Linked DNA regions of Callithrix jacchus. The protein of the gene in region 1 purifies or fractionates together with the protein of each later gene. This does not show direct contact. Links are inferred from orthologs where the notes say so. Each region holds a gene or a part of one and is shown on either strand. Other genes may lie near its edges. The genes, in order: KCNJ4 and DLG4.

Region 1 (4,307 bases):
AATGTCTTTGCTGATGTGTGCATGCCCCTCGGTGGGCATGCGTGGGATTGTACTTGTGGTGTGCACAAGTGGATGTAGAGAACTAGGAGAACCTGTGATCGTGTATGTGTGGGAGTGTGCTGAGGGGTCCTGGGTGTGGGGGCTTTTTCTCCCCCATCTCCTATCACCTGAGTGACCTTCTTCCCCAGCTGAGGACTGTGGCTGAGGTCACAGGCACGCATGGGACAGCTCCTGCCCTTCCATAGACCTGTGTCTTGGGCCAGAGTGGGCACCAGGGGCCAGGGTGGGTGGGTGAACCTGGGGCGAGGACTCATGTGCCACCCCCTCCCTGCCTGGTCTCCTCCCCTCCCCACAGCAGGAGCAGCAGCGGGAAAGGTTGGCGGAGGGGGGCTATTTTGGGAGCGTCTCCTTAGCAACAGCTGCCACGGCCGTCTGTGGCGGTTTTTCTATAGGTGCTAAAATATTCCACCCTGGTGACTACTGAGTGCTGGGGGGTGGGCGAGGGTGGAGGTGGAGGGCAGGAGAGACCCCTACAGTCCTCTGTCCCCAGGGCACAGCCTGCTGGGATGGATTCTGGCCCTCTGCCCTCCCAGTGACCCTTTAATTGCCTCTGGACCTTACCACCTGGGAGCTGCTGGGATTTTAGAGCTCCAAGGGTGTGTCCTGATCTGATTTCTAATCTAAGCAGTTGGACTTCCTCAGTTTGCCTCATCTGCAGAATGGGCTGGCTGGACTTTTTTCTTTTTTTGAGACAGAATCTTGCTCTGTAGCCCAGGCTGGAGCACAGTGGCAAGATCTTGGCACACTGCAACGTCCACCTCCTCCCAGATTCAAGTGATTCTCCTGCCTCAGCCTCTGAGTAGCTGGGATTACAGGTGTGCGCCACAATGTCTGGCTAATTTTTGTATTTTTAGTAGAGACAGGTTTTCACCATGTTAGCCAGGCTGGCCTCAAATTCCTGGCCGCAAGCGATAAGTGATCTGCCCACCTCCGCCTCCCAAAGTGCTGGGATTACAGGCATGAGCCACCACACCCAGCCCTGGCTGGACTTTAAGACACTCTCTAGGCCAAAAACCTCTGGACTCTGTGACTCTAGCATTTTGAAGTGGCCTTTTCCTTTTCCTCCTCAGCTGTCCACCTGCCAGTCCCAAGTCGCCCTCCCTTCCGCTCCTCTCCGCCCTCCACATGGGCTCTCAGGGCTGCTGTCGGACCCAGAAGGCATGAGAAGTCCCCCAGAGTGAGCTGGTTGGTGAGTACTCTGCTAGCCTGGAATGACCTTTCCCCTAGAAAGTGAGAGCTGAGCCTGGTTCAAATCCTGGCCCAGACAGCTGCTTACTGCCTGATTGACCCCAGACAAGCCCTTCCCCTCTCTGAGTGTTAGTTCAGGGTCCTCACCTGTGGGGTAAAGACACGCATAGCCCATACCCCATAGAGCTCTTGTGAGGATCAAGGGAGAGAACAGAGAGGAGATGGGCAGGACACATTGCCAAAGTGTATGGACGGACAGAGGCTTCACCAGCATTCCCCTCTAAACTTCAGAGTGAGCCTCTCTTCTCCAGACCATTGCTTCCAGCCACCCCAATCATGCCACCCATCCCATGACTCCCCATGCCTCAGTTACCCCATTGGTAGTAGGTGCCTGTAGCACAGCATTCTTGCAAGAATGAAAGGAGACAATGCCTGTCAATGTCTGGATAGTGCTGAGCTGGGGGCATGAGAGAGGGAGATTCAGGTTGTCCTCACTCCATGGCGGGGAGACGAATCTGTGCTGGATCTTGACAAGGCCCATTGGGAGACCCAGTCCACACTGTCCCATTACAGATGAGGCCTCTGAGGTCCAGAGAGGACATGAATCTTTCCCAGGGACACACAGGTTCTGACATCCATGCCTTTCCCCAACCCCCTCACATTCCTCCCAGGCCTCTGCATGCCCATTTCCATCTCCACCCCCCACCTCACACAGGGCTAGAAGCTACTCTCACATAAGGTGAACAATGTGGAGTCTTCCTTTAGTCTCTGATTATCCTCAAAACAGCTGCTCCACCAGGTCCAGTGGCTCACACCTGTAATCCTAGCACTTTGGGAGGCCAAAGGCAGGCGGATTGCTTGAGCTCAAGAGTTTGAGACCAGCCTGGACAACATAACAAAACCCCATCTCTACAAAAATTTGCTGGGCATGGTGGCGCACATCTGTGGTCCCAGCTACTCGGGAGGCTGAGGTGGGAGGATGGTTTAAGCCGGGGAGGCGGAGGTTGCAGTGAGCAGAGATGGCAGCACTGCACTCCAACCTGGGTGACAGAGCCAGACCCTATCTAAAAACCAAACTAAAAACAAACACACACAGATATTCAAAATAGGTGTTATGTTTTCCACTTGACATATGAGGAAACAAAGGCCGAGAAAGGAGAGGTGGGCTGCCCAGGGTCACGCAGGGCGGGAGAGGAGAGAAAGGACTCTTTCCTGGGGTCTCTGAACCTCTCCCTGCCTGGAGCTCCTCTGGTTGCCTCTCCCCACCTCCTCCCAATCCAGTCTTCTTGCAGGATGAGCAGCTGCCTCAGGGCACAGCCCAGGCCTGGAAAGGTGACCCTCCTTGCCCCAGAGCCCCCATCCCATCTTCAACTTTGTGCCTAGGGACCTGGCATCAGGGGGCTGATCCTGTGAGAGAAGATGCTTTGGATCTACAGACATCCCTGTATCCATGTTCCCCTCCTTTCTGCTCCTTCCTCCACCCCCTGCACCCCACACTCCCAGGACAGCTACCAGGTCAGGCCTGTGGCCAAGCAGGTCATTTGTCTCACCTTCATCCTCCCACTTTCAATCCATGCAAAAGGGTGAGAAAGACCAGGCACACATCTGTTGCCGACTGGGCACTCAGGCTGCTTGAATCTCTCCTGCATCCACGCACTGAGCGTTCATGTGATGGAACATCAGTCCTAGCTGTCTGCCTGTGAGGACACAGCAGAGTAACCAGGGAGAGGCGTGGAACAGGACGTGCGCTGTGGAGGTCCGCACAGAAAGATCCCTGAGAAAGGACGGTCACATGTATTGAGCGCCTACCATGAACTGCTCATTTTGTGGGCATCCACCTCATTTAATCTGCCTCTGGGGAATGGGGGACGTCAGGGTCCTCAATCTACAGACAGGCTAAATTAAAAACATGTTCAAGGTCAAGTAGCTCTCAGGTGCTTTTGAGCCTAGTTTAGCCTGACTCCTCAGCCCACTAAGCAAGAACCATACTTGTGCCCAGCCCAGGGGCTCGTACGTCGTGGGTGCCTAGCGCTGGCTGAATGAACGAGTGGGTAATGAATGACTTCTGCTGGGGTCATCAAGTGGCTTTCTCAAGGAAGTGGCACTGAGGCCGGGCTTGGGAAACAGCAAGGAGTCTCAGGGCAAAGAAGGTGCTAGGCGCATTTCAGGCAGGGGGGAACAGTGAGTGCAGGCAGAGAGGTGCAGAGGCCTGTGGCGTGTTCTGGAATCTGTGGAATCAGGGTGTACCTGTTGGTTTATGGGATGTCGGATGCCGGCTAAGGTGGGACCTGGCTATACCACACTGAGGAGCTGGGACTGGATCCTTTTGTGTAGGGCGAGCCCACAAGGAAGAGAAACACTTACGGTGGTTTGTGTGTTGCTGTTCTTATGCTGACATCCTTGGGGCTCAGAAGAGTCAGAGGGATTTCAGATTTCATAGGTTCTCCACCTGGCTTTGGGGTGCCTCAGTCTCTTCCTCTCTGCACTGGGTCTAGTCAGTGATAGCCAGACTCCCAGGGAAGTTCTTCTGGCTGTCTAACTGCAGGTGTTCTCTCCTCTCACTACCCTCGAGGCAGGAGCACTTTCCCTCCGGTCTCCTCAGAGGGCTAGAGTGAAGTGGCAGGATGGCCAGGAAGTAGCTGGCTCAACCCGAGCCGTGGGCGCTGGGGGTTCCCTGACAACCCAGAGTGTGGGGCCCAGGCCTGACAGCTCAGGGTTATGGAGAACGACGGAGAACAGGAGACTAGGGTTTGGTCCGGCTCTGTCATCTCTGGGTGACCTTGGCCGAGTTTCTGACCTTCTCTGGTACTGAGTCTTGCCGTCTATAAAATGGGGCAGTGGTGACTGGGTAATCATAAGGCTCCCTCCAGTAGGGCCACCTCGGCCTCCCAGAGTGGGGTGCTTTGGGTCCTTAACTAGCGGTACTTCGGGAGAGTACGAGGACCGCCAAGGGGAGGGGCCTGACTCCGTGGGACCCCAGACTGACCCGCTCTCACCCACCCGCTTCCCGGCTTGGCTCGGAGGAACCCTCTCCACCTGCCCCCTGGGGGGGATAAAAC
Region 2 (3,019 bases), on another chromosome or scaffold:
CTCTTCCCTCCTCTCCAGGTCCATTGCTTTCCTCTGGATCTTCATTCCTTCTTTAGTTTCTGATGCCAGGAGTTGTGACTTATAGGGATTTGATACTAGTAAGGGTAACCATGATTTGCAGACACGGGACCTTTCTTTTTCTTATTAATTTGGACAGATTCAAGGTTACCCCTGTGACTTTATGATGCGCACATGTACTGCAAACTGTTTTCTTGAGAGGGTGGAGTTCCAGCTCTCCCTCTGGAAACTGTACTCAGTGTGGGCTGAATGATGGTTAATAGTTGTGGTGGTTACGATTACAGTCAGCGTTTGGTCCCCACACAGTTTTGGGTTACTCAGCACCCATTGTGGCCATGGGAGTGCCATCCACAGATCTCTGGGCTGGGTCTCAGGGTGACTGATGCAACCTTCCTGGGGTCCTCAGCCGGGCTCTGACCAGTAGCCACTTGCCCCCCAGGGCCCTGTTTGATTACGACAAGACCAAGGACTGCGGCTTCCTAAGCCAGGCCCTGAGCTTCCGCTTTGGAGACGTGCTGCATGTCATCGATGCTAGCGATGAGGAGTGGTGGCAGGCACGGCGGGTCCACTCTGACAGTGAGACCGATGACATTGGCTTCATCCCCAGCAAACGGCGGTGAGGCTCTGGGCTCTGTAGCCTTCCTGCCACAGGCACTGAAATTCCCAAGGTCCCTCGGGGTGGACAGCCATCGGGGATGTGTTTGCCCTCTGACCTCCTAGGGGTTTGTCTGTTGGGACCTCCTGGGGACTGTGGCTCCCATGAGCCTTTGGGAAGGACAGCTCCTCATTGAGGAGCACAGGGCCCAGGGCCATGGGAGAAGGGATTATTAGCCAGCCTGGAGCCTGGGGGCAGCAGGGTTCCTCACTGGGCATTTTCCTATCTGCCTTTCCCTCCATGTATCCCACAGGGTTGAGCGACGAGAGTGGTCAAGGTTAAAGGCCAAGGTAGGTGGAGGAGGGGTGAGCCTGGGTGGAAGCCTGAGGGCTCATGGAGCTGAGCTCATAGCTAACCTCGTGGCCGCCTGCTTTTTCTTCCTAGGACTGGGGCTCCAGCTCTGGATCACAGGGTAGGTAGGGTCAGTTCGGGAGGATGTGGGTGAGAGGCACACTGAGCTGCCTTTGATATCCTCAAGGGGGAGACAGGGCCCTAGGTCCCCTGTTTCAGAGCCCCTTGCAGATGCGCCACCTCCTGACAGGTCGAGAAGACTCGGTTCTGAGCTACGAGACAGTGACGCAGATGGAAGGTGAGCCCTGGCCCCTGCCTTGGCCCCCACTCCTGCTGCTGCTCCAACTTAGTCCTTGGCCTAAGCCAGGCTCTGTCTCCGCAGTGCACTATGCTCGCCCCATCATCATCCTTGGGCCCACCAAGGACCGCGCCAATGATGATCTTCTCTCCGAGTTCCCCGACAAGTTTGGATCCTGTGTTCCCCGTGAGTGCTGGGGCCTTGGATGGAGGTGGAGGTGGAAGTGGGGGTGGGGTGGAGGAGGCCCATCCCTGCAGCCTGTAGGCAGAGCCCCCTGGGGGGTTGGTGTGCAGGGGGACACAGGGTTTCTCTGAGAAGGAGTGCTTCTCAGCCACCCTCACATTCCCCAGTACCCATGCCCAGACCAGAGACTTGGAGGCCCTGGAGGGTGCTGGGGGAAGCGGTCCTGCCCCTCTGCAGTCTTGGTCTCTCTGGCAGTGCCCTTTCACCAAATGACCAGCTGGGCACTATGGGGATTTGATTGATGGAGGATGGTTTTAAGCTAGAGGAATGGGGGATAGATCTTTGGGGGGTGGGGTGACTTCCTGGCAGATACAACACGGCCCAAGCGGGAGTATGAGATAGATGGCCGGGATTACCACTTTGTGTCGTCCCGGGAGAAAATGGAGAAGGACATTCAGGCACACAAGTTCATTGAGGCCGGCCAGTACAACAGCCACCTCTATGGGACCAGCGTCCAGTCCGTGCGAGAGGTGGCAGAGCAGGTAGGACCTGGCGGGCACCTGGTCCTCTTCCTCCTCCCCTCTCCCCACCCCATTGCCTCCCTCCAGCTCTCTCTAACTCTCTCTCTCTCTGTCTCTTTCCCTGCTGGGTCTCGACTCCACTCCTCCACCTCCTTCTCCTCTTGGGCAACTCTGTCTGACCGCCTGCTCTCTGCCCCTGCTCTCTCTCCCACCTGCCTTGCTTCCTGACCCCAAACTCCCCACCACCATCTGGCCTCTTTCTCTCCCCACTCCCTCCTCCTTGCCCCATTTCTCCTCTTCCTGTGGCCTTGTTTTTGGTGGCTTGGCCTTCCCCACTGGGTCCCTCCCTTTTCCCTGACTCCCCTCTGGCCCTTTCCCCTGCCTCACCCTTTCCTGGGGCCCCACTCCCCTCTCCCACTCCTCTGCTAACTCCTTTCCCTTCCCCGATGCTCCCCACCCTGCCCTCCCTCCCTCCACGGCTCCTCTCTCCATCTGCCTCCCTCCCTCCCATCTGTCTCCTTGTTCCTTCCATCTGTCTGTCCTTTGACCGTCCTCCCCTCCCTCCTCCCTCTATCCTACTTCCTTTCTCTTTTTTCTTGGCTTTCCTTCCTGCCTGTGTCACCTCTGCCTTGTGCACACTGCCCCATTCGCTGCTGCCCTGGCTCTGACAACCTCTCTTGGGTCCCTGCCTGCTTGGTGCTCCTCCCCTTCTCCATCTTATCCTGTCCCTGCCCTCTCCCCATGCTCTTTGTCTTCCCTATCCTTTCTCTTTCTGTCTTTTACTCTGTCCATACTCCCTTCCCGCCTGACTCTCTGCCCCCATGTTTCTTGACATCCATGTCACTCCCCCTTGGCCAACCTCCCATTCCCCACCTCTCCCTGTCCTGTGTCTCTCCAACACTGCTGTCTGTCCTTTCCTGCCACCCGCTGGCCCCCCTCCGCCCACCCTGCCTGCCCCCAGGGGAAGCACTGCATCCTCGATGTCTCGGCCAATGCCGTGCGGCGGCTGCAGGCGGCCCACCTGCACCCCATCGCCATCTTCATCCGCCCCCG

Evidence for each region.
Region 2: the proteins of KCNJ4 (region 1) and DLG4 purify together in Homo sapiens (affinity purification with western blotting, with the first as the bait; 3 studies listed by BioGRID). This does not show direct contact. The link is inferred for Callithrix jacchus from reciprocal best matches to the Homo sapiens genes KCNJ4 and DLG4.

The regions. Positions count from the first base shown.
Region 1 is NC_133502.1:209,372,545-209,376,851, reverse strand, and holds the start of KCNJ4 (inward rectifier potassium channel 4), read left to right. Parts: upstream 1-1,225; 5' UTR 1,226-1,249; intron 1,250-2,798; exon of another isoform or gene 2,799-2,926; intron 2,927-4,307. UniProt on the Homo sapiens protein: Inward rectifier potassium channels are characterized by a greater tendency to allow potassium to flow into the cell rather than out of it.
Region 2 is NC_133506.1:73,683,270-73,686,288, reverse strand, and holds part of DLG4 (disks large homolog 4), read left to right. Parts: intron 1-457; coding exon 458-634; intron 635-926; coding exon 927-963; intron 964-1,057; coding exon 1,058-1,085; intron 1,086-1,214; coding exon 1,215-1,262; intron 1,263-1,346; coding exon 1,347-1,448; intron 1,449-1,814; coding exon 1,815-1,987; intron 1,988-2,927; coding exon 2,928-3,019. UniProt on the Homo sapiens protein: Postsynaptic scaffolding protein that plays a critical role in synaptogenesis and synaptic plasticity by providing a platform for the postsynaptic clustering of crucial synaptic proteins.